Linked DNA regions of Mytilus edulis. The protein of the gene in region 2 purifies or fractionates together with the protein of the main gene of each other region. This does not show direct contact. Links are inferred from orthologs where the notes say so. Each region holds a gene or a part of one and is shown on either strand. Other genes may lie near its edges.

Evidence for each region.
Region 1: the proteins of anaphase-promoting complex subunit 15-like (region 2) and anaphase-promoting complex subunit 7-like purify together in Homo sapiens (affinity purification with mass spectrometry; 3 studies listed by BioGRID and IntAct, with this or other methods). This does not show direct contact. The link is inferred for Mytilus edulis from reciprocal best matches to the Homo sapiens genes ANAPC15 and ANAPC7.

The regions. Positions count from the first base shown.
Region 1 is NC_092349.1:56,632,270-56,648,382, reverse strand, and holds the start of anaphase-promoting complex subunit 7-like, read right to left. Parts: upstream 6,588-16,113; 5' UTR 6,526-6,587; coding exon 6,460-6,525; intron 586-6,459; coding exon 457-585; intron 1-456. Other genes in the region: peptidyl-tRNA hydrolase 2, mitochondrial-like, read left to right, coding at 6,727-6,864. UniProt on the Homo sapiens protein: Component of the anaphase promoting complex/cyclosome (APC/C), a cell cycle-regulated E3 ubiquitin ligase that controls progression through mitosis and the G1 phase of the cell cycle.
Region 2 is NC_092351.1:36,924,620-36,941,226, reverse strand, and holds the start of anaphase-promoting complex subunit 15-like, read left to right. Parts: upstream 1-8,079; 5' UTR 8,080-8,186; coding exon 8,187-8,306; intron 8,307-11,516; coding exon 11,517-11,576; intron 11,577-15,036; coding exon 15,037-15,160; intron 15,161-16,607. Other genes in the region: protein SDA1 homolog, read right to left, coding at 7,659-7,748. UniProt on the Homo sapiens protein: Component of the anaphase promoting complex/cyclosome (APC/C), a cell cycle-regulated E3 ubiquitin ligase that controls progression through mitosis and the G1 phase of the cell cycle.

The DNA.
Region 1 (16,113 bases), on a different chromosome or scaffold from region 2:
TCACATGTTATTCCTTAAGCAATTGCATCATTCAATACAACTTTTCATTCATGATAACACGTGGTCCCACAATAAAGTGCACAGGTGAATTAAATAAAACAATTATAAAATTCGTGTTTTCATGATCATAGCTAAAAAATTTAATTATAAGTATTGAATGCTTCTTTTTTTAACTTCATAGGGTTGTAAAAGCGTTGACCGTGTGCAAATTTTTAGAATGAAGCGGAAGCGCTTCATACAAAATGTACTTTGGTCAACGCTTTTACACCCCAATGAATTTACAAAAACAAGCATTTAATTCTTAAATACAAATATTTTTTTATAATTAATAATTTCATCAACAGATTGAAATGTCAACATTCATGACATATATTTCAAGGAACATAATATACTGTCTGAGTTTTAATGAAGATCTGTATTGCTGTGTTTATGGAAACCATGGTAACAAAGACTCACCTCTGCCCTCAAAAATTCTCCTAGATGATACAGAGAGTTTCCATAGTAAACCATACACTGGTACCTCTGAGATAAGGAGAAAACTTCTGTGATTGGGTTGTTATCACACAGCGATATCACAATGCATGACTACAAAAAAAAATATATTTACAAAAAATCTCAATTTGAAATAAATATATAAGTCCTTTACACTTCATAGCTTGGTATAAAATTATGTGCGAGTACTGGTACAATGTATATATGATTACTAAGACGTAAGTTACAAAAAAAAAACAAAAAAAATTAGCAGACTACATGTACAAATGATGTACATGGTGTATGTTTTATCATCAACAATTGAAACCTTGCCCTTTAAAAACACATCATAGTCCGAGTTTGTTCAATATATTTCTGCATACAAATAATTGTAGGCCGAGTTTGTGATAGTCCGATTTTGTTTTAGTCCGAGTTATCCATCAGTGTCACAGGTAACGCCTGCCTCATATTAGCCTTTCAAGACATCATAATTATTTGGACTAGTGTTCATGTTGCTCAGTCTAATATCACATGTCTCATGTATAGTTGTTTTGTGGACTTATTTATCTTTTCATTGTTTTGGTATTTTGACAAATTTCTTCGACTGATGACAACAGTGTTCTCCCCAGGATTTTGTTAAGGCGCAAAATTCAAGGGCACGTAACTCTTTTTTTAGAGTGAACTTTTGTGATCTTAAGCAATTAGTCATAAATCATGACATGTCATATAAATTTTAATGCATTGTGTTAGGTGTTTAATAATGCAGAGTACTAATGAATTACAAGAATATATGAAATAAATTGATTTTAAACACAAAAGTTATTTATATTCAGTCAATTAAAGAAGTCAAAATATAAATATTCATCTATGTACTCTCTGCTCCTTCTAGGGTTATTGGTTTAAGATAGTGTTATTTTGTTGGACAATCTGTTCCTCAACATTGTCTTTATCCTCTTTAGGGTTGAAAAACCCCCTCTCATAATTTGCTTATACCCCCTTAAACATTTCTAAGCCATGAAAACTCAGTGAGCCACTTGTCACTGAAACCAGAAACATGGTGCTTGCTGTTATCACTTGCCATTACTTAAGCTCGGTTGGGATTGGGAGAAGCAATGCCATCTGCTTATAATACTGACGGTGTAGACAGAGCTGTATACGTATTCCCCTTTTCATTAGAAGTCATTGGTCTGAAAAACAAAACTTTTACTTCCATCATCTGCCTTTTGCTTAGAAGTCAGCCTTTGTTTTTTGCAGAGAACACGTTTATTCAGAATTATTAAAATCGAATATGGTTTAGATATTTGGTATACAACTTTTTAAATAAAAAAGTCTTTATTAAAATATTTTAATGAACAGCTGAACAGTTTCCGTAGTTTGACATTACGCTTCCGTGTGTATTATTGTTAAAACCTATCTTTGACAGGTAGATATAAACAGAGACATATGTGTATATATGTCTCTGATATAAACGAAACTTTACAAATTGGTTAAAGTTAAGACCATTGAAATTATTTACTTATGACATTAAACAGAAGATGCGGCGATTCTACCCATGTTGATTGGATTGTCACATATTTGTCACCAAGGTCCACTCGAGAGCACTGTTAGATAAGGGGGAGCTAACTCGTATGTGCTGGAACCAAGGGACAGGGGGTCAGTCTATCGCTAGACTTAATGTTCTGATAGGCATAGCTAAAACGCAAGGAAGGTTTTCATAATTTAATTAACGATAACGATTTAAATGAATGATAACAAATCAATCAATAAACAATGCCAAATAATAATAATCTAATTAAAGTACAAAGTATCAATTCAAAATAACAAATCCAAAGTAAAACTATTTCTCTTTAAAATGTAAAATATAAAATAAATGCCAAAATTACTAAATCATAAAATGTACTTAATCTCAATTTCAGAATGTAAAAGTCTCAAAATAAAAGTTTCTCAAAAGTATAATTTTCTAAAGTTAAATTATGAGTCTAGAGATAAATTTTGTCTCACACTACACAGTCAACTGGTAGACTGGTAGACAGTCTTATAGGGCCAGTATAATGACATGAGTAGTGTGAGGTTACGCTTCCGAAACACTGACTGCTTTTACAAAATTTCCCAACAATATTTATACTAAAATCCGAAATAACTCAACTTGTCCCGACATGTTAATAATACTCTCATTAGTAAAAATAGATGTTAATTAACAAAGCCTAATCCTATAATGTTTTGATAAAAATCTAAACTTTCAAAGTGACATATGCTAATTACAATTAATATTTCAAAATAAAGTGCTTTGAGCAAACTGTGACATTTTGAGTACTAATGACACAGCACAGGTAAAATTAAATAAACACATTAATTAAAATTTTACTAAATACAAACATAAAATTTTCTTTCTTAAAATAAAACATATTTTTTATCCAAAATAACACTAACACAAATGTAAGCCAAATAACACACCATGACATATTTCCCGACGGATGGATTCGCGATCGATGTTCAATGATAATTTTATTTCTAAAAACATGACAGTTTGAGACGATTTGAGCTTGTAATCAACATTTTTTCACTTTCTATTAATTTAAATCACTCCTCGTTATCTTTATTCCAAGTTTATTTTAATTTTTTCAACTACAAATACTCTCATTCATAATTTTCATCGTAAATATCTTTAGCAATGTGTATTCAAATTTATCACGTGTATTCAATACGTTCATTGGTCATGTATTTATAGATTCTTCTTCTCGACCAATGAAAATATTCGTTATTTAAATGATCAAGTAATCACACACACGATGTGTAAATACAATGCATTTGCGATCTATTTCTTCAATTTCTGCACTGAAGTTTTTAATTTTTTTAATTCTCTTCTGAAAATACAGATTTTCTTGATGATCATTTACGCTATTACATGATAACATAGTCCGATAAGGCTGAGATAAGCGTGGCTCAGGTAACACTAATTATCAGTTATTGCGCAACACTGACCGACCTCTCAGCGGTGATCAGCAACTTGACAATTTTAACCAACATTTATAATGAAAATGTGAAAATTAACATGCTGTGGGATCAAGTATTAAGGCATACCTGTCAACTCACCCGTTTTTTGCGGGTGACACCCGTTATTTTCACCTCTCACCCGGGAGTTTTTCTTTACCCGGCGGGTCCCGGGAATTTCTAACATTTCCCGTTTCACCCGGATTTCTGACCGGAATTGTTTCCGTTATTTAGAAGTAATGTGGCCTTCGGTTTTATCGGTCTTTTTCAATGTAACCAAAAGTCAAAATGTAGGACTGTTTACCTGAGCTGTGAAATAGCTTCAGGTTATTCCTGTGGAAAAACTAAAACCACCCAAATAGTAAAGAGGGCCCTTTCAGTTGAAAATAACAAAGTGGTAGTTGAAAACAAGCCAAGATTTTTTGTTTTGTCAAAACTTGCTAAAACATTACTGGTTTTGCCAAACAGCAATGCAGACAGTGAGAGGGCATTTTCTTTGAATCCGGGTCCGTCCGCCCTGATTTTTGTTCGCCCTAGTTACTGTTCGCCCTAGTTCCGTTTCGCCCTGAGACCGTTCGCCCTGATACCTGTTCGCCCTGGGTATGTTCGCCCTGATTTATATTTTTTATTATAGTGTTGTGTTGTGTGTATTTAATTGAATATGTTGAAGTCAGTCTACAATTTCGCCGAATATTTACGATTTTTATTTTTTTTATAGTGTTGTGTTGTGGGTTTTTAAGTGAATATGTTGAAGTCAGTCTACAATTTCGCCGAATATTTAAATGTAAAACAACTGAAGACTAAATTATTTGTATGTAATGGCATATGTTGAAGACTGTTTACATTCACCGAATATTTATTTATGATGTATTACGTGTTGCTGCTTTTGGGAAATAAGTGTCTCGGAATTTCAGCACTACATTGTATTTTTAAATGTACTAAGTTATTATGTTGTCTTGCTGCTACGAGGATAAGTTTCTGTGATTTCAAAGACTACAAAGTATTTGACATGAAACAACTAAAGACTAAGTTATTTATATATTTAACTTTATTGATACATTTTAACAATATAAAAATATTCAGTAACAGTTATAACAAGATCGATCAATTCCGAACTGCACTTCGCACACCTCCTCTGGTGCTGGCTCAACTATTGGCTCTGGTGCTGGCCAGTTGATCTGTTCACATGGTGTGCAAATGAACTGTAGGTCATTGCCATGTCTGGCGTCTTTGTAAGCTTGAAAAGTTATACCTAAAATTCAAATTATATATTATAAATATATTCACATGTGAACAATATAAACATCAATATAAAATTACATTGATATTTTTTATATATATAAATCTACTTGTACTAGAACATAATACTAAATATGAGAAAACATTCATACTAACGTAGTTATATAGATATATATTTGACTTTTTTTATCTTAATATAGTTACTTTAGTTCATTAATTATATATATGGGTATATACTGAAGGCCGTACATTGACCTATAATGGTTTACTTTTATAAAATGCTATTTGGATGGAGTTGTCTCATTGGCACTCACACCACATCTTCCTATATCTAGATATATATATTCTTGTTTAATTCCTGATGAAAGTTGCAACAAAATTTAATATTTATAAATTAAAACACTTACCAGTGCCACACAATCTATGCTACCATTTCTCACATACGTCACATGATGCTGCATGTTGACGAGGTCGGACCTCTCTGTCACAAGAAATACACATGTACACTTCCATAGTTTATGGAATAATGCACCGGTTCCATAATCCACTTCCATATATAACAAATTTGTCAAAACACACTTGAGATCAAAGAAGCCAAGCTGCGAAAATAATTTCCCTTTCATGCCTAACAATTTGTACATCAGTGTTTCTACCCATCCAAGCTGACTATTTTATTTGAGAAAAATTGTATTTTCATTATTAATCCATCAAAGACAATTCATATAACAATCAGTGATATCAAAGATTTCAAATTATACCTAATCAGCAATCAAAATTCAATCAACAGTAATTAAAAGTAATTCTAAAATAAAGTGTAACAATGCAGCCACGAATTTTATTTAATTAATATTCTGTATTCAGCTTTAATAGATAAACATAAATTTTAATATATATAAATATACATTTCTTTTATAATGAAACATATTACATATAACATATACATATCATTTATAGATAAACATAAATTTTAATATATATAAATATACATTTCTTTTATTAATGAAACATATAACATATACATATCATTTATGAGAATAGGGCGAACGAACTCAGGGCGAACGGAATACCAGGGCGAACAAACTCAGTGCGAACGAACCTAGGGCGAACATGTAATCAGGGCGAACGATCCCGATACCATTTTCTTTAGTAAAGAAAATAGCTACAGAGTGTAGGGCTGATCTTAATAAGGATACACTGTGTGCTCTTCTTTCTTGTAAAATGAATACACATTTGCATTGCTATGAACTGAAACCAAGTGCAGTTCTTTTAAAGAATGCCAAGTCTGCTACTATGGAATATAACAATAGTCTGAAATAAACTTGTATACATGTTCTAACTGTTTCATATACATATTGACTATATAAATTATATGTAAACATATTTTTGTTCTTCAATTGAGCCCGCAAAATGTCGTACGCGTTATGACCTGAGATTTTTTTTCTCATTGGAGGTCATGACCTGACTTTTCATTTTCAGAGGTTGACAGGTATGATTAAGGGACAGCGGCCAATTAAGACGCTGCAGGATCTACGAAAATATTATGAAGGCGATGCGGCACCTGGGGAGAACACTGGACAATTGAAAACAGGCATTTGTTTCTATCAATGGGAAGGTCGAATATCAAAATAAATTATATACAATGTATCTTCGCATTGTCATTTTCATAGATACTGATAGAAACATGTTCCTGTGTTTAACGGCATTATTGGCCTTGTTAAGGGTGATACAATTTTATCATAGTTTTCTAAATAAACGTACAAGCTGCTTAAGATCATGAAATAGCTCAGATTCGTGCAAAAACCGCACATGATCAAAAAGATTCATTTTCCTCCACTATTTATTTTTACTACTTCCTTCTTTCGGGTTTCTCTAATTTATCTTCGATTGCGATGGGAAAAGTCCGCATGTTCCGAGGGAAACACGATCTCAATCACTTTAGTGTTTATTACAGTCATATTTTTACTTGAAACTAGAGGAAAAAGGTAACATTGAGCAAAATAAATGTGCTGAAAATAAATAGCAAAAATGACATCATTTTTCAGTAAAGAGCAAACAGGATATGTTGCTGTAGGAATAGGAGTCGGTCTTGTCATTGGATGGTTTCTTAAAGGACGTCTCCGACCTAAATTAGCTGTTTTATCATCTAAAAATGGTTTAAATGAAGTAATTTCAAGTAAACTCTATACTTTCGGGGTTGTTCACATAATAATTTAGAAGTCTAGTCTGGGAATAATATGAGGCAGGCGTTACCTGAGAAAGGGGACAAAGTCCGTATCAATTATTTTTTTAATTTCAATATATTTTAATGTTAAAAAAGAAACGGAAATACCGTAATGTTTCCGTTGTTGGTCCTTTTTAGTTATGATGTCATTTTCAATGTAAACAAAGAAACCCTATCATCAGGTAATATGAGGCAGGCATTACCTGTGAAAGGGGACGAAATCTGTATGAATTATTTTTTTAATTCAAACATATTTTAACTTCAAAATCTGTTAAACATGTTAAAAAAGAAGCGGAAATACCGAATGTTTCTGATTTTGGTCCTGTTAGGGATTTCAGTTGTGACGTCATTTACATTTTTAATGTAAACAAAGAAACGCTATCATCTTCTGGTTTACAGAATGGTGTGAAAGGAGGTGATGTAGTTGGCAAATATTTTCTTGAGTAGACTTGATTAATTTTGATGGGGCTTGACAAGCAAATGATAAGGGATTCCAAGGTGACAAAAATCTGCTTCAGACTCAGAATCCCATAAGGAATTATCCTAGGTCCAGTTAAGACAACATTAAAAAATCTTACTATATGATAATGAGTTTGTTTATTTAAAGGATCACTATAAGTTTAACACACTGGCTATGATTACGTTGAAACGTACATGTAATGTTAATAAAAAAGTTATAGTTATGTTGGACATCTAAATGCAGAAATGCTATTTTGGGTTAGGAACCAATTAACTATGAGCGTACCAATAATAATTGTGTCTACAGCTATGTTGCGTTATTGTTTCGTTAGATTTATTAAACAGTCAAGGGTCTAACTTAAATAAGTTAATAGAGAAAAATAACAAGCATGTGTTATTACAGACACTTTCATGAGTTGTCTACTCTTTTTTCCTTAAAGGGAAACTTCGCAAAAAAATCAAAAATTGATATTATGTTCATTCTGTATAAAAATGTTCAAATTCATAGATATTAAAGTTTTATTCCGCTAGATAAGCGATCACCATCGATTTTAAATTTAGAGTATCAATTCTCCGAGATCCGCCATCTTGTCTTCTTTCCCGATGAATAAAAACGATATGTCTATAAACCACAAAGAAACAAAACTACAGTAACCGATGTAGTCGTAATTGCGTGTCGATATCTTGTCAATCGTACGGTTGTTTAATACGACTAACTAACTTGATACGGAAAATATTCTTACTGTTTTTAAATTACCATGGTCTGTTGTTTTTAAACTGTTGATATTGGAATTAGGTGAAAAGTCAAAGTTGAAATCATAAATAAGTGTTCCGTGAAAATTGTTTTCGAAAATCTAATTTGTTCATAATTCTTTAAAGTAATAAACTTTTTTCAAATATATTTTGATCTTCCCTTATCTGATCACCAGCATGGCTAAAGGTATTACTTCCAAAGGTATTGTGAGGGGTGTGAGGTGACACGTCCAGGTATTCAAGCGATTTCCTGTCGGGCTTGCAAGTTCATGCATCGTTTCACTTCTGCAGGTATTGATCAGTGTACACGGCTGATAACTTATAACTTATAACTTTCCATTTTGAACTATCAGATGTATAATATACAACTCTGTCTTACTTGTCATTACTAAACTCATACGCTTGTTTATAAATAACATTTCTGGTGTAAAGAATATAATTCATAATATATAAATAATACCCAAAAAATAAGATTTGATGAAATTAAAATCTATTTAAATATTTTTTCCAAGGGTGAATTTGGGAAAATGTAATATATAGTCATTGTCAATAGTGAAGGACAGATTGGAACAGACCAGAAATATTGATTTAAAAAAATGTACGCACTTGCCGACGATTCGTTTATACGACTGGATATAAAGTTACGGAACTATAGCGCAATTTAAAATATATACGTGTATACATTGAACATAAGAAAAAAACATATATTTTGAATAAATAGGGGTAAAAGTGTTGTAAATAGACTAGCCAACGTATGCCAACAGTATGTAATCATCGAATGTCGATAGACTACAGTTGTATACCAAAAGAAGAAGAGAACCAATTTGATTTAAATACAGGTCGATGTATAACTTTTGCTTTGGTTCATTGAAGCTGTGGACCTAGGAAAATCACAGATTTATATTTCAATAAGATTGTTCTCAAACAAAGGAAGGAATTCGTCATCACAATTGTTATATATGCCACTGGACGAACACTAATTATCCCCAGGGGATGTGAATATTTTGCTGGGAAACTTTAGAGTATCAAAGTTTCAAATTAATTTAGGGATTTATTTTCTTTCTTGGTATTCAATAACCGAAAAAAGAATAAATTACTTGTTCGCTAAATAGGGATATTCTTGTCAGATAAAAGAATTTTAGTTATATTTAAAAAATAGGGAAATATGACATTAAATTGGTTCTGTCTTTTTTTAAACATCGTTAAAACGATGTGTGTCTAAGGTGAACGCCACAAGAACCCTGTAATACTAGTACGAGAGTATAGCATGTAAACATTCTTTCTCAATAATATGGTTGTATTGGAAAACTTTTCATACAGATTGACAACTCATTGTCCGATATGCATGTAATATTTGCCACATGACGCCCATAGTTCTTTCTACCATCATCACCTTATTCCTTGATATTGCTGTAAACATCGATGGTTCACACCCAAACAAAATGGGAGTAATGAACCTTCAGAGCTTCTCTGTGTTATACACTTGTGAAATATATAGACGAAATTTCTGTATTGAAATGAATCTACATCTCACAAACAGGATTTTCAAATAACGATTTTGAGTAATCACCTTACAAACCAATATAAACGTATGGCAAGATATAACCATGAAGGAATTTAGTTTTTGAAAAATGACGCTTTCAGCGGCATGTTTCTATACTAGTGAACTGAACTTCCATTACATTTCTCTGCCTACCGCGCTTGGTTCGTATTTACTTTCCATTACATTTCTCCGTCTACCGCTCTTGGTTTCGTATCTACTTTTTACATTTAAACTGGAATTTGCTTTTATTATGATTTTTGTGTAGTAATCAACCGGGAACCAGTTTGCATACCTCCGGTCCTTCTTATTACCAAAAAGATGGAAGTGTACCAACCAATGTTGTTAAGATACTCATAAATCTATTTTTATAACTTTATTGATTATGTGAAGTAAAACTAAAACATTGTTAAAACATTAAAAATCTATAATTAATCGGGGAAAACTTGATAGTCTTTTCTTTTTACAAACCACTGCCTTTTTTATAAGAAAATATAATGTGTCTTCTTCTTCTTCTTCCAGGTAAGGAACCGGATTCATTGCTGAATGTTAATGGTTCCGCGCGAAAACTTTACGCAGTGTCGGGCAACACAGAAAGATTTCTCTTGGCTATTTACAAATTACATTGTCCCTGTTGGTCCACTTTCTATTGGAAATAAGTACCGGAAATCCTACTCAATCTTTGTTTACAAAGTTACAACAGTAGAGTCTGTAACAGACTGTATCTGTATGACATGTGCATTGACATGTGCATAAATTGTCGATATCGATGCTGGCTTTAATACAACGGTTTTATTGGCGGGGTGGGATCGTTCGCCCTGATCGGTGCGATCACTGTCTTACGGAATTCTAGTCAAATCGGCACCTGGTCAATTCGGCACCCGGTATAGTCAAATCGGCATCTAGTCAAATTGGCACCTGGTTAAACCGGCACTTGATATAGTCAATTCGGCACCCATGTAAGATTTGTTTAATATATATTTTAACAGTATTTTAAGCAAAAACAGTAAAAATAAGGAATGGGTTGTCCAGAAATTTTACAGTATTTACCCAAGAAAAGGTAGATAAGGAAGGGGGTTTGATAGAAATATTAACCTAATTTTATCATGTTTATTCACATTTTTAAAGGTTGAATTATTTATATTTATTATTGGATGCCTAATTGGCTTTAAATAGGTGCCGATTTGACTAGATGTCGATTTAACCAGGTGCCCATTTGACTTGTACCATATTATTAAGGCCCTAAAGTGAGTTTGAATATTGTACGGTGTTTTACTTGGCGGAATGTCAATACACTCACAGTAAGAGTTATTCTTTGCTTGCTTTTCCACAATAATTGTTTCGTGGTATTCTTTGAATTCCTCGGCAGTTATGGTTCTCTTCGGACATGTTTTTAAGAGGAATTCGTCTGGTTCAATAGCGCGAATCAGCCCCTCAACTTCTTTGTACATAAATACTAACTTTGGCTTGAACGTTTTGTTCGTTCTTGTTGTAGTTCCAGTTTGGCAAATATTTTGGAGACTTATCCATCCTCTTTTGACTTGTAATCTCTGGTGATAAATATTGCTGCTTGACATGTTTATTTTTGTTACCGGGTAGGGGTCGCATACGATGGCTCCATATTAAATTATAAGATCAATTCCTAAAGGTCTAGTTCATTATCCAATCTGACACAAATTTCAATAACTGGAATGCCACCCAAGTTGAATATATGGTGACCCACTGTAACAGCACAATTACTTGGGATTGTGTTTAATACCATGATGGTTCAATGGCATAAACTTAAATGGAGACAAAATTTAACATGAAAGATTGTGGATTAGTGTAAAATAAAAAAAAACTAGCTTACTATAATATATGGTTAAAGAATGAATATCAAATTATATGGGTCATGGGCAGAGTTGTTATAAAATATCAATATGGCAGAGAAGTGGTTTCAAGTTTCATATAAAGGGACCTGACTGACATGAAATGAAAAAATCAAAGGAGTATCCCTTTTTGTCTAATCTTCAATGTGAAATAAAACAAGTATAACAATATTGTGTAAATCTACAGAAATAGAATTTGCTTCAAGTAACAGAAATAACTACTTTTGTGTATGTCACTAATAACTTATTTAATGAGTATGTGGGTAATTAGTCCTATAACATATGACCTCAGGAGCATTATTTACTATTTCTATTTACTGTTCTGATAATATTTTTTTTACTATCAATGTGTCACACTTCGCATTCAAAAAAAAATAAAAAAATGAAAATATCAGTATAAAAACGTTAAAAATTGAAGAAGAATGTGAAGTCATATGTTTATAGGACTAGTGGGGTATAAGAGCTTATTACAACAGGCTCTTCATAATCATTTGGTTTGAAAGGATGCTAGTAATCTGTATTCTTGAATTAGAAAAATGTAATTGAAAGAAAAAAAAAATACACATTAATTAGAATACTTTAGATCATTCAGGTAGTCTTTATTTAGTACGTACAACAGAACAGCAAGTAGTCATTGGATATTGTAGATCATATAAATAGTCTTGACCTATTTATTAGTACAAAAGAACAGCTAGTAATCATTGGACACTGTAGATCTTTCAGGTAGTCTTGACCTATTTATTTGTACCAAAAAAACATGCCAGTAGTCATTGGATACTGTAGATCATTTAGGTAGTCTTGACTCTTGACCTATTCATTTGTATTAAAAAAAAAACCAGTCAGTTGTCATCTTCACTTCACACACTCATATACGAATATCAATTATATTCTTACGAGACATGTTGCAATGTTCAACTTATTACGGTATGTGAAAATCAAGACTTGCATAAAAAATATCCCAATATTAGAGGCAGTGGCGTCATTTTTCCTCAGAGCTTTCAGCTCTTTGATTGTCAGAACTCATCACTATATCATAAACGTATACGTATATATATGCATACAGTTTCAAATATCAAGAACAAGCGTTCGATGTCGATAGTCTGTTCTCTAACTGTTCAGAGTTAGACATGTCACTTGTTCATTCTTGGAAGCCTTCATATTCCCCGTCTAACGATGGGAACTCTTTCTGATTGTGTTGAATATAAATGCTTGTATGGTAATTCTGTCGTTTATCTGTACAAGCGGTTGCATTTCCTCTCCTTTCCCAACAAACAAACGAACGAAACGCAACTAGTCTGATTTCTCTGGAGCTCATCCTCAATGGCTCTTATACGTCAGGAAACTTACATGTATACTAATAATGATTGTTTCATGAACAACGATGTATGAACGAACTATTATAAATTCGTCAATATCTGTAATGCATGACTAAAGTATTACTTTTATTACAACTACTGTATTACTTATTTGGATTAATGACGGCTATCATGTTCAACATTGCACAACTATTATCATAGAATTTTTAAAAAAATCCTCAAAAATCCTCAAAAGATATAATGCCTTAGCGTAGATAATTAGTATTCTTTTCACAAAAAGTTCGTGTAAATGATTGTCAAATGAATTTAATTATGTAAGAATAAAATGTTAAAAAGAAACTAAAAAAAAATTATGCATGTTGTATGTTGTATTTTTTTGTCAATTAAAAACTTTAAAATTGCAATAGTTTTATTAGCATTTAAACACAGCCAGATTTGAATACAAGTTAAGAAATTCCGGTAAAGTCAATGATATCAAACAGATGTACAATGGTATATCAAATTGGGTAATATTGCATTTAGTTTTTATTAAAGATTAAAACTACTATTTTTTGCTTCATATTTGAATCTTTACGCCAATTGCCGCTAAGAAAGTAATCAAAAATTGTTTCCTTTTATTTTTATACACTTTCGGAATTACGAATCTGAATTTTATTTTCAATTAATTTACACAATTTAATTATTGTATCTTTATTCTCATCGTGTATTTAATCTTAGTGTATTAACATCATGACAGCATATACTCTAATCCTTTCTATTTATCCTTTCCAAATAATAACATTTATACCTGTGTACGCTTGAACTCACACCTGCGGCTAAATAGCTACAAGGTAAACGAATTGACCTCAAGCCGAGAAATATACAGTGACCTTTACAAAATAATATACACACTCTGCTCACACATTACTTGCATTGAAATGATTATCAAAACAATAACGGTAAATAGAACTGAAATATTTTCAGTTCAATATCAGTAAAAATGTTCAATAAATATTTTATGAAAAAAATCTCAACAATGATTAATTAAATTTATTCAAAAACATTTACTAGAGATAATTTTATAGGAGTTTAATTCAATCAATACAAAACGGTATATATATGCATATTCACTTTCGTTCATTCTTATATTGTGGTTTATAACTTCGACCATTCGTCAGCTGTGCGCTTTTAATTACGTATATTGTCGATAAGCTATAAGAGTTAAACAGATTTTATTTTTTCCCAGAATTCAATAAATCGGGCTAATACGTCACGACCCACTCGAGAATTCAACCAAAAAAGTTACAAATACTTGATTTTCTCCGTTATTAGAAGGAATATAAATTTAAAACTTTGCAAATGTGTTTTTTATGTTAAGATGAACATAATTAGATGATAAGTAAAAAATCGCGGAATTTCCCTTTAATCTGTAATAACATACGTTTGTTATCAGTTAAATATATCATAAATATTTTATCTTTTGTGGGCACTTGGGAATACATGAAACTTTGCGCAGTGGCTTAATATATTACCTTGATAACTAATTTTCTAATTCCATTAATTCAATTTTGATCAACCATAGTAAATCAATGAGACAAGGCTTTTAAGGGAAAATTAATCTGTAATAACAAGGCTTAGTTATTACAGGCATGTAACTTATTATATGAGAATAAATGAGACACTTGGGAATTACTTGGAATCTTGCGCAGTGCCTCATTACAAGTTCTGATCATCATTTCTTACAATGAATTGAAATACATTGTGATATATGTCTGAGCAAAGTCTTTTAAGAGGTTTAGAGAAGCTGTAATAACACCCTTTGGTTATTGCAGGAATATGTTTTCTGTAATAACATAGGTGTACTATGCATGATTGGTAAACTATGAACATGATGAACTGCTATATATCTTAGCAAAGTTTAGTATACATAAAGAAAATTATAATATCAATAGAACTTGTAAAAAATTTAACAAAATAAAGTTTGTATATATATTGTCCCTTAGAAACATGTAACATACATATGTTATCAGTCAGGGGACTTACTGAAATAAGTGATTTTTAAATCACTTATTTGAGTAGCAAATTCAAGGTTTTGTCACAAATTGGGATTTTGTAGTTTTTTCAAAATTTTAAACACATAGGTTTAAATAACATCTTTTAATTAGTAAAATTAAAAAAAATATGAACTTTTTGCTTCTTTTAAGTAGCAAGGTTTATGCCTTTGATGCTATCATTTACCTGAAAATTCTATTTTAGTTGAAAAAATGCTATAATAATGGCTTTACATAATGAACTGATACTTTCTTAAAAGATTTTTCACAGCAGTGGGAGTATTTTTCCTGTGAAGTTCAAGGTTTCATCTTTCAGATTATGTAATAAAATTCTACTGTTCGCGATAAAAATTTCACTGTTCGGGGGTGTTGAAATTAGTGGGGGTTATTAAAAGAATGATACTTAAAGAAGTGATTTTTGGGAAGGAAATTGAGGTCTGATACTTAAACAAGTGATTTTTATGTCATTATCCTAGATTCAGTACAAGGTCATCACCTGAAATGACCTGGTCATCCTAGACAACACAGATGTTGGTTCTGATAAGTTTAGAAACATAATTAGTCCCTGGATCATTAGTATTCTATATTTAAAGCTACACTAATATTAAATCACTTCTTCTAGTGATTAATTTGTACTACTTAAATAGGTGATTATTAAAGAAAGACAACTCTAACTTCCAACCTTTATGGAAATAATGTTACTTGAATCAGTGATTTAGAAAATCACTTGTTTAAGTAAGTCCCCTGACTGGTTATTACAGTATTTTGATATTTTAGCCCGCAATAACAACATGCATGTTATTTTTCTCTAATAACTTATTTAAGTTAGACCCTTGACTGTTAAAGTTTTAACCAACTTTTTTTTTCCCATTTCAGCCATTTTCATGATTTTATAAAGTTGTAATTATTACCATGATTATAAGCCGAGTAAATACAAACACAAGTAATGTACAAAAATAAAATGGTACATGTATTAAAAGACAACATAAAACAACATCACATGTATCCAACACAAATTTTGGATGTACAACATGTACAATAAATATGTATATATATTTCAAGAATAAAAAATAATTTCACCTGAAGCATAGCATGTATTAAAAGCTGGTTTAACTTCAAGAAAGGGAAATTGCAGAATGGAACTGTTAAGTCTGGAAAACCCACATTCCCATTGCAGCATTACTTGTCTGTGATGGCTGCCTAGAGTGGTTCCAACAAAAAAATT
Region 2 (16,607 bases):
ATCTAATGTGGAGCTTATTTTTCGTGGACACTGTCAAATTCAGAGCCCATTACCGGTATGGCTGATTTGCAGCAACAACAAAACAATTCGTACGGGTTATGTAAAAGGTTAAAGAGATTTGTAAAGCAAACGTCGACAAATGAAAAGGTTTTTAATGACTATCTGGAAAAATTGATGCTGTGCAACATGCATCTTTCGAGTCTGAATAGAAACCGGAAACGCAGATGTATCAATTTGATTGTAATATACGAAATGAATTCAGAATTTAGATACGATATTTCTTTACAGGAAATATATAAGTTTTTACTTTTAAACTTTTAAAGTAATTCTAAATTATCGTTACAGCAGTACTCGAGTTATTTACGATGAAATAATATTTACTGTTTTGCGTCTTATTTTGTACTTCTTAAAAAAGGGGGATGCTGATTGCGTAAGTCAAAAGAAAGCACGTGTTCGACTTGTTAAACTGTTTTCTTTGTAACTGGATTAATTTATTAATTTATTTATTTAATCTAAATGATCATAATCATTTGCTGAAACTTAGTTGATTACTTCGACAAATGGTTCGTCTATCCTCAGATAGTATTCTCCTGTTTGGTTTGTTGATCTACCTGTACAAGCTCAGGTATAAGTAATTAGCGATCTTAATCCGGATATCCCTCAGGCGTTAGAACTGTATTGGATTATAACATAAAAAGCCTAAGGGTTATGCAATTACATGCATTTGATTATAATTGATAAAAAAAATGGCGTCGGGCTACAAAAAACGATGAAGTTTTGAACGATGGCGGAAGACAATTTAACGATGGCGCAAGACAATTTAACGATGGCGCGAGTCATTTGACGATGGCGCAAGACATTTGAACGATGGCGGGGCTCCATCGTTAAACAGGCCATGGAGATCCCTGTGTATATATATATATAATTATCAATATACTAAATGAACTTAAACATGTTAATTTCCAATATATACTATAGTCGCCGTCACGTAAAATTGGCACCATGTTTTTAGTAAAAAAAAGTTTAAATATCGACCGCGTTTACTAAAGATCATGTTTTTCAATTAGCGGAATAAAAATCCTGTCCAAATATCCACTACTGTCCTACCTTTTATTGTGTTTGCACTGTATAATCCTGACCTTCACATTTTTCAACATTATTTACAGTGTAAAAACCGCCATCTTGGTTTCTATGAGGATCCCTTATTCCATAACATTCGTTACTCTCCGGTAATATCATTGTCATTGATGATACAATTTCCCGCGCTTTTTTACATAAAGATGACGAAAAGCTCCGAGAGACACAAGAAAATGGAGAGCATGTGGAACTCCACGGCAACACTTCCGGTAATAACAATGTCGGATTCCACCATACATAATAATCTTGAATTATGTGAAGGTCAGAATTATACAGTGCAAACACAATAAAAGGTAGGACAGTAGTAGATATTTGGACCGGATTTTTATTCCGCTAATTGAAAAACATGATCTTTAGTAAACGCGGTCGATATTTAAAGTCATAAGAAACGAGTGACCGGTGAAAAACAATGTTCTTCCAATTCTTGAACCAATGCATACAAACATCATAAACTTAGTCTTCTGTGCACGAATTTATGATTTTCTTCTTGTAAATTTCGTATAATAGTCAATTTTTTTATTTCAATCGGTCAGTGTTGTGAAAATATGGCAGGTAATTAAAGTTCGTGTTTTGAAGCCGAAGTTTAACGATTGTCACCTGTTTGTCAACAATCGACAAAAAATCAACAAAAAAGCATGGAAATTGAGCACGTGTTTAACATGTAAATTCGTATAATAGTTTATTTTAAGGACATTCATGGGTATTGTGATCACCGGATTTTTACGAGATGGGTCACACTGAGGTCACTTTGCATACGGAAAATATATCGGGGGAATTGCGTCCTGGAAGCAAGCAATTAAATTAAAGTAAACTTCTTCTAAATATGAATAAATTAAAGAATTTTCTTCAGAAAAAAGTATATGTACATAAGTTTTATAATGAAAACTATCCAATGAGTTATAAAAAAACATATGCATTATTTTTTTTAATTTGAGGTTTCTTATGACTTTAAAGGGAAACTTCGCAAAAAAATCAAAAATTGATATTATGTTCATTCTGTATAAAAATGCTCAAATTCATAGATATTAAAGTTTTATTCCGCTAGATAAGCTATCACCATCGATTTTAAATTTAGAGTATCAATTCTCAGCGGTCAGCCATTTTGTGTTCTTTCCCGATTAATAAAAACGATATGTCTATAAACCACAAAGAAACAAAACTACAGTAACCGATGTAGTCGTAATTGCGTGTCGATATCTTGTCAATCGTACGGTTGTTTTATCCGACTAACTAACTTGATACGGAAAATATTCTTATTTTTTTTAAATTACCATGGTCTGTTGTTTTTAAACTGTTGATATTGGAATTAGGTGAAAAGTCAAAGTTGAAATCATAAATAAGTGTTCCGTGAAAATTGTTTTCGAAAATCTAATTTGTTCATAATTCTTTAAAGTAATAAACTTTTTTCAAATATATTTTGATCTTCCCTCATCTGATCACCAGCATGGCTAAAGGTATTACTTCCAAAGGTATTGTGAGGGGTGTGAGGTGACACGTCCAGGTATTCAAGCGATTTCCTGTCGGGCTTGCAAGTTCATGCATCGTTTCACTTCTGCAGGTATTAATCAGTGTACACGGCTGATAACTTATAACTTATAACTTTCCATTTTGAACTATCAGATGTACTAGAACACACCCGCGAAATCGCGGGCATATACAGCTTGAGAAATGTTGTTGGATGATTTTTTGTAAAAGATACTACATGTATGTATGGGGAATTTCATAAAAGGTATCAAAAGCCCTCTCCTTTTTTTTCCAAAGTCCGATATTTGTTTCCTTTCTGTTAAATTTAATTATTTTCCTGTTTCTGGCCTCAGACCACAATTATTCTTCTCCTTTGCTACAACGCATCTTTTGGTAAAAGTCAAATTAAATTAAAAAATTTGCACCGCTTCAAACATGAAATAAATGTAACTGCTTATATATGGACCATTATTAGTCTAATAAAATATACTTCTAGGACAATCCATCAGTGTTTTTTTTCTTTTGAGAGCCTTATTAACATGCCAATGGTAGGATATGAATCTTGTATAAATGACTAAAACCATCTAAGGCTAATTTGAGGGAGTGTCGGAGGGGTTCTGATCCAGAAATCCCGGGATTAAAATCATGAAATCCCGAGATACAGAATTTAAGGAAATTCATATTCGAAATCCCGAAATCGAAAAATATATTCCCGGATCCCGTAAGGGTCAATCCCCAAATCCCGAACTTAAAAACACCCGATCCCGACGTCCTGAAAAAAGGTCACGGTCCTGCCTCCCTCGAGCTCTCATCTCTACCCTACTTTCATTTTTGCCAAATCACTATTACTTTCGCTTCCAACAATAAACTGTTATGCCCATTTATAGGCATTATGTTTTCTAGTCTGTGCATCCGTGGGTTTCTTCGTTCGTTAGTCCGTCCTTCTGTCCCGCTTCAGGTTAAAGTTTTTAATCGAGGTAGTTTTTGATGAAGTTGAAGTCCAATCAACTCGAAACTTAGAAAATAGAGTGCCGATGTTGCATCCGTGTACTATATGGACACATTTTTGTTTCCCCATGTTTTACTTATCTTAGTATATATGCAACTGGCGTGACCCTTTAAATAGTAAACATTTCAAAGAAAACAGTAGACAGAATACAGAGAGTCTCTATATATATATGTAAGTCGTATAATCGTAGTTTATATGTAGATAAACTCGAAAAATAATTGTCCACTCTAAGGAGGTATAATAGTTGTGGTTCTCGCGATCTAAACACCATGATATGGAAAACACTCTGATTGGCTTATTTATTTTTCATTTTTTTTTATCTATCATACGATTGGTTGTACTTGTGCATGATTCAAACCGGAAGTCTTATCTGTGACTAAAAGTCAATCTGATGACGGAATCAATATCCGGACTCCTTTTTTGTCGTTTTTCTCCCAAAATAACTCAATCTGAATAATCATAAGAATGGATGACAAATGCGACTATGCATGTTACCTATAGAACACAGAGGCATGATGATTAATTTATCTTGGAAGGAAGAGAAGCGACACACAAAATGAGGTCTTCTCGTTTAATAGTATAGATAATATACAACTCTGTCTTACTTGTCATTACTAAACTCATACGCTTGTTTATAAATAACATTTCTGGTGTAAAGAATATTATTCATAAAAATATAAATAATATCCAAAAAATAAGATTTGATGAAATTAAAATCTATTTAAATATTTTTTCCAAGGGTGAATTTGGGAAAATGTAATAAATACTCATTGTCAATAGTGAAGGACAGATTGGAACAAACCAGAAATATTGATTTAAAAAAATGTACGCACTTGCCGACGATTCGTTTATACGACTGGATAGAAAGTTACGGAACTATAGCGCAATTTAAAATATATAGTTTGTATACATTGAACATAAGAAAAAAACATATATTTTGAATAAATAGGGGTAAAAGTGTTGTAAAAAGACTAGTCCACGTATGCCAACAGTATGTAATCATCGAATGTCGATAGACTATTGTATACCAGAAGAAGAAGAGAACCAATTTGATTTAAATTCAGGTCGATGTATAACTTTTGCTTTGGTTCATTGAAGCTGTGGACCTAGTAAAATCACAGATTTATATTTCAATAAGATTGTTCATGAACAAAGGAAGGAATTCGTCATCACAATTGTTATATATGCCACTGGACGAACACTAAATATCCCCAGGGGATGTGAATATTTTGCTGGGAAACTTTAGAGTATCAAAGTTTCAAATTATTTTCGGGATTTATTTTCTTTCTTGGTATTCAATAACAGAAAAATAAATAAATTACTTGTCCGCTAAATAGGGGTATTCTTGTCAGATAAAAGACTTTTAGTTATATTTAAAAAATAGGGAAATATGACATTAAATTGGTTCTGTCCTTTTTTTAAACATCGTGAAAACACTGAGATGTGTGTCTAAGGTGAACGCCACAAGAACCCTGTAATACTAGTACGAGAGTATAGCATGTAAACATTCCTTCTCAATAATATGGTTGTATTGGAAATCTTTTCATACAGATTGACAACTCATTGTCCGATATGCATGTAATATTTGCCACATGACGCCCATAGTTCTTTCTACCATCACCATCTTATTCTTTGATATTGCTGTAAACATCGATGGTTCACACCCAAAAAAAGTGGGAGTAATGGACCTTCAGAACTTCTCCGTGTTATACACTTGTGAAATATATCTGAGACGAAATTTCTGTATTGAAAAGAATCTACATCTCACAAACAGGATTTTCAAATAACGATTTTGAGTAATCACCTTACAAACCAATATAAACGTATGGCAAGATATAACCATGAAGGGATTTAGTTTTTGTCAGACGCAAGAACTCATCACTATATCATAAACATATACGTATATATATGCATACAGTTTCAAATATCAAGAACAAGCGGTCGATGTCGATAGTCCGTTTTCTAACTGTTCAGAGTTAGACATGTCACTTGTTCATTCTTGGAAGCCTTCATATTCCCCGTCTAACGATGGGAACTCTTTCTGATTGTGTTGATTATAAATGCTTGTATGGTAATTCTGTCGTTTATCTGTACAAGCGGTTGCATTTCCTCTCCTTTCCCAACAAACAAACGAACGAAACGCTACTAGTCTGCTTTCTCTGGAGCTCATCCTGAATGGCTCTTATACGTCAGGAAACTTACATGTATACTAATAATGATTGTTTCAAGAACAACGATGTATGGACGAACTATTCTAAATTCGTCAATATCAGTTATGCATGACTAAAATATAACTTTTATTACAACTACTGTATTACTTATTTGGATTAATGACGGCTATCATGTTCAACATTGCACAAATATTATCATAGAATTTAAAAAAAAACCCCTCAAAAATCCTCAAAAGAAATAGTGCCTTAGCTTAGATAATTGGTATTCTTTTCACAAAAAGTTCGTGTAAATGATTGTCAAATGAATTTAATTATGTAAGAATAAAATGTTAAAAAGAAACTAAAAATGCATGTTGTAGTTGTATTTTTTTGTCAATTAAAAACTTTAAAATTGCAATAGTTTTATTAGCATTTAAACACAGCCAGATTTGAATACAAGTTAAGAAATTCCGGTAAAGTCAATGATATCAAACAGATCTACAATGGTATATCAAATTGGGTAATATTGCATTTAGTTTTTATTAAAGATTAAAACTACTATTGTTTGCTTCATATTTGAATCTTTACGCCAATTACCGCTAAGAAAGTAATGAAAAATTGTTTCCTTTTATTTTTATACTCTTTCGGAATTACGAATCTGAATTTTATTTTCAATTAATTTACACAATTTAATTATTGTATCTTTATTCTCATCGTGTATTAAATCTTAGTGTATTAACATCGTGACAGCATACTCTTTCTAATCCTTTCTGCTTATCCTTTCCAAATAACAACATTTATACCTGTGTACACTTGAACTCACACCTGTGGCTAAATAGCTACAAGGTAAACGAATTGACCTCAAGCCGAGAAATATACAGTGACCTTTACAAAATAATATACACACTCTGCTCACACATTAGTTGCATTGAAATGATTATCAAAACAATAACGGTAAATAGAACTGAAATATTTTCACTCCAATATCAGTAAAAATGTTCAATAAATATTATATGAAAAAAATCTCAACAATAATTAATTAAATTTATTCAAACACATTTACTAGAGATAATTTTATAGGAGTTTAATTCAATCAAAACAAAACGGTATATGCATATTCATTTTCGTTCATTCTTATATTGTGGTTAATAACTACGACCATTCGTCAGTTGTGCGCTTTTAATTACGTATATTGTCGATAAGCTATAAGAGTTAAACAGATTTTATTTTTTCCCAGAATTCAATAAATCGGGCTAATACGTCACGACCCACTCGAGAATTCAACCAAAACAGTTACAAATACTTGATTTTCTCCGTTATTAGAAGGAATGTAAATTTAAAACTTTGCAAATGTGTTTTTTATGTTAAGATGAACATAATTAGATGATAAGTAAAAAATCGCGGAATTTCCCTTTAAGAAAATTTTGACAAAAAACATGGTGCCAATTTTATGTGACAGCGACTATAAATGAACTTAAACATGTTATAATCATTAATTTTGTTTCTTCCGGTCTCGTTTGTTTGTCTTGAGACTTTAGGTATTCCTAACAACAGGACCAAAATCGGAAACATTAGACTTTTTCCGTTTCTTTTTTAACATTAAAAAAATTGATGATATGGACTTCGTTCCCTTTCACAGGAAGGCGTCAAAGCAAAAATTAAAAATAGCTAGCCTTCCAAGACGTCATAATTAATTGGACTAAGGTAACACCTGCCTAATATTAGAAGCTATGGATAGTCGACCTTCCCATATGGACAGAAACACGTGCCTATGGCTGTGGATGCACTTCTACACTTTAATGATATCAAAAAATTATGTAGCCGACAGGTTGAAATAGTCAATACAAAGGTATTTAAATGGTAAAATGTTGTAAATGGATTTAACAATGTAAAATAACCTCTTCTCTGTATGAATTTGGATCACGTTTTATCAAGTTTTGTAGCTGAGGGAGATTGTTTGGCAGTTTGTTGTGATTTCTGTCAGACATTCTGTTCTGTTTACATCAACCACGTGTGTCTCTTTAAACCGGAAATATCAATGACTGCACCAACTAAGAACCATTAATGAAGTTTTAAGAACACTACACAGGAATGAAATATTCATATTCTCCATTTCCATTCTCAATTTTACATTTTCGTCATAACGTATTGGTATAGATTTTTTTATTAAGTATTTGAGACAAAAATTAGTATTGATTTTATTTATACAATGTGATTTACAATTCCCAAAAAATGATATTGAAATTTTTTATTAAGACCGTTTTGCTTTATATTTTTGTGGATTTTAGATTTTAAAAGTCTGGATCACAAAAGTGCTTCAGATAACGAACAATTTGTTTGAAATTACAAGTTTTTTTTCTACCCTGAATTAAATGTTTAGAATTTTTTTTTTACAAAACTGGTGCTAGTTCTCAGATACTGGTAGTATGTCATCGTTTTTCCCTTCACTTGTACCAAGTGCTTCAGATCCTTTGTGGTTTACCGTTGATAAACCATGCGATGACGAAGAAGAAATTTCAAAACTGGAAGAAGAACATACTTCATGGGTAAATTTTCATTTATATTTTTTTTGCTCACCAACAGTTAACAGTCAGGGGACTTACTGAAATAAGTGATTTTTAAATCACTTATTTGAGTAGCAAATTCGAGGTTTTGTCACAAATTGGAATTTTGTATTTTTTTCAAAATTTTAAACACATAGGTTTAAATAATATCTTTTGATTAGTAAAATTGAAAAAAACAAACTTTTTCTTTCTTTTAAGTAGCAAGGTTTATGCCTTTGATGCTATCATTTAGCTTAAAATTCTATTTTTGTTGAAAAAAATGCTATAATAATGGCTTTACATAATGAACTGATACTTTCTTAGAAGATTTTTCCCAGCAGTGGGAGTATTTTTCCTGTGAAGTTCAAGGTTTCATCTTTCAGATTATGTAATTAAATTCTACTGTTCGTGATAAAAATTTCACTGTTCGGGGGTGTTGAAATTAGAGGGGGTTATTACAAGAATGATACTTAAAGAAGTGATTTTTGGGAAGGAAATTGAGGTCTGATACTTAAACAAGTGATTTTTATGTCATTATCCTAGATTCAGTACAAGGTCATCACCTGAAATGACCTGGTCATCCTAGACAACACAGATGTTGGTTCTGATAAGTTTAGAAACATAATTAGTCCCTGGCTCATTAGTATTCTATATTTAAAGCTACAATAAAATTAAATCACTTCTTCTAGTGATTAATTTGTACTACTTAAATAGGTGATTATTAAAGAAAGACAACTCTGACTTCCAACCTTTATGGAAATAATGTTACTTGAATCAGTGATTTATAAAATCACTTATTTAAGTAAGTCCCCTGACTGGTTAATTGTTTTCAATTTGTATTGGATTTATTGTAAAAGTAAGAAAGATATGTAAGATACTAACAGCCAAATAATGACAGACAAACTGGGAAAACATCAACCTACGAAACACAATATAAAAAAATAGACGTCACTAAGCAACACAAATCCCTATAGAAAAAAACAGGGGTGTACTTAGCAGGGCTGTTATCTACATCTTCATCTTACGACGATCCATCAGCACATTGATGACTAAACGTCTGTGCATCGCAAACAGATACTTTAATAATCAAATATAATAACTAATGAGTGCAATAATTCAGAAATAATTTTGTGCAAAAACAAAACAAAAATTAACACATTTACATATTTACAAACAGGTTGGATATCTAAATATACTGACTCTGGATCAGTATTTTAAACTGATCCAGGGTAACACTGATGACGTTTTGTGGAAGTGAGTTCCACAGTACAACTGTGAATGGAAAAAGCTTTACTTGAACATGTTGAAGTAATCTGTTCTAGTGCTAAATGTTTGGTATTGTAATAATTAGTGTACATGTATCTGGTGTTTTTGACTGGCTGTGGTAAAAGGTAAAGGTAAGGGTCTACTGCAATGAGATGGTGTGAGATTTTGTACAGCATAGTTACTCGATTGATGTTTCTGCGAGTTTCAAGTGACTTCCGTTGAAGATGGTCAATCATGGAAGTGACACTACTGGTGTTGTGGTTCCTGTTGGTGACGTAGCATGCTGCCCTACTTTGTACTTTTTCAATATTGTTTTTAGCTCACCTGGCTTGGCGTCCGTCGTCCATCGTCATCGTCGTTAACTTTTACAAAAATCTTCTCCTCTGAAACTACTGGGCCAAATTAAACCAAACTTGGCCACAATCATTATTGGGGTATCTGGTTAAAAAAATGTGTGGCGTGACCCGGCCAACCAACCAAGATGGCCGCCATGGCTAAAAATAGAACATAGGGGTAAAATGTATTTTTTGGCTTATAACTCAAAAATTAAAGCCTTTAGAGCAAATGTGACATGGGGTAAAATTGTTTATCAGGTCAAGATCTTTCTGTCCTCAAATTTTCAGATGAATCCGACAACCCGTTGTTGGGTTGGTGCCCCTGAATGGGTAATTTTAGAGATTTTTTGCTGTTTTTGGTTATTATCTTGAATATTATTATAGATAGAGATAAACTGTAAACAGCAATAATGTTCAGCAAAGTTAGATTTACAAATAAGTCAACATGACCAAAATGGTCAGTTGACCCCTTTAGGAGTAATTGACCTTTATAGTCAATTTTTAACCATTTTTCATAAATCTTAGAAATCTTTTACAAAAATCTTCTCCTCTAAAACTACTGGGCCAAATTAATCCAAACTTGGCCACAATCATCTTTGGGGTATCTAGTTAAAATAATATGTGGCGTGACCTGGCCAACCAACCAAGATGGCCGCCATGGCTAAAAATAGAACAATTGGGTAAAATGCATTTTTTGGCTTATAACTCAAAAATTAAAGCATTTAGAGCAAATGTGATATGGGATTAAATTGTTTATCAGGTCAAGATCTTTCTGTCCTCAAATTTTCAGATGAATCCGACAACCCGTTGTTGGGTTGCTGCTCCTGAATTGGTAATTTTAGAGATTTTTTGCTGTTTTTGGTTATTATCTTGAATATTATTATAGATAGAGATAAACTGTAAACAGCAATAATGTTCAGCAAAGTTAGATTTACAAATAAGTCAACATGACCAAAAAGTCAAAGAAATAAATTTATAATAGCCTTTCAAGACTTCATAATTATTTGGACTAGAGTGAACTCAGGTACACCACATGTGACTCATGTAAGTTCAAGTTATGGGATAATTCTAAAACTCAGCAATGACAGTGATTAAACATTCCAGGAAAAGTGGTCGAGTTTGTGGCCCTAACAATATTTGAACACATTAACTGTTGTTATCTCTGAAACTGATATTTCATAATGGTCAACTAACACATGATGGCTACAATAAAACCTAGAACCTGTGGTCAAATAGATCCTTATAAGCATAAACCCTCTATCAAGAAATCAACTGAGTTATATAACCATGTGTAATCTTAATACAGGCACAGCTAGCATGTTCCCAGCCAGATAGAGATGAAAAGTTCACAAATTGAAAGCTGAAATCATCTCTTCTGTTGTATATTTTGTTCTCAACAGATCCTCTGTGTCAATTCTAGATGTAAGTCCAGGGATTGAAGTTAAGATTTTGGCAATGGCTTAAAATTTGTAGCCAATATTTGTTCTGTATGTACTTATTCTTAATCACGACACAAGTTTGTCATGATGGCAGTGCTGAAATCCATGATAAAGAGTTTAATTTGCAGAAAATTCATGCAATAATTTTGACTTTGCTATAAATATTTTTTTAGATGGAAAGCATTGCAAAGAAAGACAGCAATATTGTTCCTATTGGAAAAACAGCATCAGAGGTATGTTTTCTATATTCTAAAGTAATCATGGTAATAGATTACAATGTAAAAAAATATGAAATTGATCATATGAATCTTTTTCTAAATCACCAGTCAAGCGTAAAGGGGAAGTGCTGTTTTCATTTTAGTTAATAATTCAGGGGCAGGTTCCAATCCCGGAACCCCCCTGGATCCGCCAATGAATAATTAAATACAGAGGCTAACATTTTCCTACATCATGTACATGTTACAAATTTGAGACTTTTTTCTGCAAATTTTTTGCATTTATTGCAAACATATTGGTTTACAAAGTTGTTTTTACATTGGGTAAATGCAATGAATCTTCTTCCTAATGAAAACAATTAAATTGCTCAAGTTACCATAATAAATAGCAGTGAAAGCACACTCTCCTACCTGTCCTCACAATACCAAATGTATTTCTGACATCTGATTCATAGTTTAGTTAAGACCTGCTTTGATACACAAATAAATTGATACACAAAATGTAGGCATGTGTCATTAAACTATTGTAACACAGTTTTCTACTAACATACAGCCATTACAGGGTAAAACGAGGAATAACAGGCGTTGCTTTCAAAAATAATAAACAACCATGAACCATGTTAACACAATACTGACTACATTTATAATTTAAGTGAGTACCAATTTTGGAAAACTTGAATTTTATGGATATATGTTTTCATAAAATTTGTATCCCAACTAATATTGAAGGATACAGGAACAGTCACAATATTCATGATATTGATAAATTTATATGGTAAGTATATGAAACTAGAGGCTCTAAAGAGCCTGTGTCGCTCACCTTGGTCTATGTGAATATTAAACAAAGGACACCGATGGATTCATGACAAAATTTTGTTTTGGTGATGGTGATGTGTTTGTACATCTTACTTTACTGAACATTCTTGCTGCTTACAATTATCTCTATCTATAATGAACTTGGCCCAGTAGTTTCAGAGGAGAAGATTATTGTAAAAGATTACTAAGATTTACGAAAAATGGTTAAAAATTGGCTATAAAGGGCAATAACTCCTAAAGGGGTCAACTGACCATTTCGGTCATGTTGACTTATTTGTAAATCTTACTTTGCTGAACATTATTGCTGTTTACAGTTTATCTCTATCTATAATAATATTCAAGATAATAACCAAAAACAGCAAAAATTCCCTAAAATTACCAATTCAGCGGCAGCAACCCAACAACGGGTTGTCGGATTCATCTGAAAATTTCAGGGCAGATAGATCTTGACCTGATAAACAATTTTACCCCCGTCAGATTTGCTCTAAATGCTTTGGTTTTTGAGTTATAAGCTGAAAACTGCATTTTACCCCTATGTTCTATTTTTAGCCATGGCGGCCATCTTGGTTGGTTGGCCGGGTCACGCCACACATTTTTAGCTCACCTGGCCCGAAGGGCCAAGTGAGCTATTCCCATCACTTTGCGTCCGGCGTCCGTCGTCGTCCTCTATCGTCCATCGTCGTCCGTCGTCCGTCGTCGTTAACTTTTACAAAAATCTTCTCCTCTGAAACTACTGGGCCAAATTTAACCAAACTTGACCAAAATCATCATTGGGGTATCTAGTTTAAAAAATGTGTGGCGTGACCCGGTCAACCAACCAAGATGGCCGCCACGGCTAAAAATAGAACATAGGGGTAAAATGCAGTTTTTGGCTTATAACTCAAAAACCAAAGCATTTAGAGCAAATCTGACATGGGGTAAATATGTTTATCAGGTCAAGATCTATCTGCCCTGAAATTTTCAGATGAATCGGTCAACCCGTTGTTGGGTTGCTGCCCCTGAATTGGTCATTTTGAGGAAATTTTGCTGTTTTTGGTTATTATCTTGAATATTATTATAGATAGAGATAAGCTGTAAACAGCAATAATGTTTGGCAAAGTTAGATTTACAAGTAAGTCAACATGACCGAAATGGTCAGTTGACCCCTTTAGGAGTTATTGCCCTTTATAGTCAATTTTTAACCATTTTTCATAAATCTAAGTAATCTTTTACAAAAATCTTCTCCTCTGAAACTACTGGGCCAAATTAATCCAAACTTGGCCACAATCATCTTTGGGGTATCTAGTTTAAAAAATGTGTGGCGTGACCCGGTCAACCAACCAAGATGGCCGCCACGGCTAAAAATAGAACATAGGGGTAAAATGCAGTTTTTGGCTTATAACTCAAAAACCAAAGCATTTAGAGCAAATCTGATGTGGGGTAAAATTGTTTATCAGGTCAAGATCTATCTGCCCTGAAATTTTCAGATGAATCGGTCAACCTGTTGTTGGGTTGCTGCCCCTGAATTGGTAATTTTGAGGAAATTTTGCCGTTTTTGGTTATTATCTTGAATATTATTATAGATAGAGATAAACTGTAAACAGCAATAATGTTCAGCAAAGTAAGATTTACAAATAAGTCAACATGACGGAAATGGTCAGTTGACCCCTTTAGGAGTTATTGCCCTTTATAGTCAATTTTTAACCATTTTTCGTAAATCTTAGTTATCTTTTACAAAAATCTTCTCCTCTGAAACTACTGGGCCAAATTAATTCAAACTTGGCCACAATCATCTTTAAGGTACCTTGTTTGAAAAATGTGTCCGATGACCTGGCCATCCAACCAAGATGGCCACCACGGCTAAAAATAGAACAGGGGTAAAATGTAGTTTTTTGCTTACAACTCTGAAACCAAATCATTTAGAGGAAATCTGACAAGGAGTTTAATTGTTAATCAAGTCAATATATATCTGCCCTGAAATATTCAAATGAATTGGACAACCTGTTGTTGGGTTGCTGCCCTCCAATTGGTAATTTTTAAAGAAATTTTGCTGTTTTTGGTTATTATCTTGAATACTATTATAGATAGCGATAAACTGTAAACAGCGATAATGTTCATCAAAGTAAGATCTACAAATAAGTCCACATGACCTAAATGGTCAATTGACCCCTTAAGGAGTTATTGCCCTTTATAGTCAATTTTTAACAATTTTCATTAATTTGGTAAATTTATGTAAATTTTTACCAAATATTTTTCTCTGTTACTAATGGGCAAAGTTCATTATAGATATAATTGTAAGAAGCAAGAATGTTCAGTAAAGTAAGAACTTCAAACACATCACCATCACCAAAATACAATTTTGTCATGAATCCATTTGTGTCCTTTGTTAAATATGCACATAGACCAAGGTGAGCGACACAGGCTCTTTAGAGCCTCTAGTTTAAACTAGATACCCCAATGATGATTGTGGCCAAGTTTGGTTTAATTTGGCCCAGTAGTTTCAGAGGAGAAGATTTTTGTAAAAGTTAACGACGACGGACGACGACGGACGCCAAGTGATGAGAAAAGCTCACTTGGCCCTTCGGGCCAGGTGAGATAAAAAGACGCTAAGCCTTATGTAAACAAACATTGTTAAAAGAATCACTTATGAAATTTGTTTTGAAAGTAACTTTTATTTTTTCAGCACATGGAGGATGAAGAAGAAGACGAGGAAGATGATGATGGAGATGATGATGATGAAAGTGACACAAACGATGATGAATTAGATACAGACATGTTAGATGACAGGGAATCAGGGGATGAAGCAGGTGATTATCTCCCTTGTAAATTAGTTTTAATCCATGAGTTCTTTTTGTGTTTTTAGTGTTGTTTGCTTGCATTGATACAGACAAAAAAAAAAGAAACACATAGTCAAAATTTGTGAAGGTATAATATTAAGACATAGTACAGTTCTTGAACATCTTGATCATTAGGCTTCCAGTTCTTTCTTAGTTTGCCAAAGAATAATTTTGCATATAAAAGTGTGAATATTAGCTTTTTTTAAATGTTTTTTTTCCATTATCATGATTATGGCATAAAACTTTCAAATAGACTGCATATTATTTGATTTACTAATTCAACACTTATCAGTTATGCTTTGGTTTAAAAATATATGTAATCTTCCTTTAATTTATTACTGTCAAAAATTAAATGTATATTTATTTTGATAGGCTTGATTTCCATTTATGAACACATTGGTATATATTATATTCCTACTATAATATATCATGTATACATTATAAAATATATAGAAATGATATAAGGCCAACTAAAATTAATTAGTAGATTTTCATCCAAATTTTTGAAAAAAATGGGGCGGGTGGGAGGATTTAATTTTTTAATTTTTATTTCTTATGAAACCTCTTGTGACGTGTTCTTCAAATATTCAAGTGTAATAATAAGCTTATATTATGTATATACATATATATATAAGGAATCGTACACAATATTTCAAATCTTAACATGAATGAAAATCTCAATTGGCAACCATTGTTTTACATGTAATTGCTGCTTTAGAAACCTAAACAGCAAAAACATAAAAGAAGAATGCTCTCTTTAGTTGGACTACCTTCACCAAATTTAGTGTCTTTTTAAGCGACCATTTTTTTGTCTCCATAAAATGAAACAAATATGCAACTAAAGAATTACGAGTTCAGAATAAAATGAAACCGTTTTGAAAACGAAAGGGTTGGTGCTTTTAGGATTCTTTTTATAGATGCTAATATAACTAATATGTAAAACATGAACTTAACCGAAAAGGAGAAGATGTTTAATGGCTCTATTGAGGATATTGGGACAGAAGGTGTGTGTGCTGTCTGTCAACAAAAAAGACATGGGTAAATCTAAGTAGTGTGACGGGATTGCTTCCCCTAGAAAAACTTAGTAAACACTTAGTAAGCCGTAAGCAGTTGAGCTAAGGAAGTACTTCTTTAGCTCAGTCGGTTAGCGCGCTGCCTTGTAACACAGAGGTCCCGGGTTCGAGTCCCGGTGGAGATAAGCAATTTTGTAATGAAATTCGTGCTCTCCGATTAAAGTATGTTTGCCGACTTTTTGAACTGACTCAATTATACTGTAATAAATCTAACAAGTTCGTGCTTGCGTCATTTCATTTATTCATTTCTACGAATGTGTCCCACGATTTGTGCTCTTTGGGTATAATTCACAGTCCAAAATTCCTTCCACAAAGTCATTTTATCAATACAAAAATCAATAGTT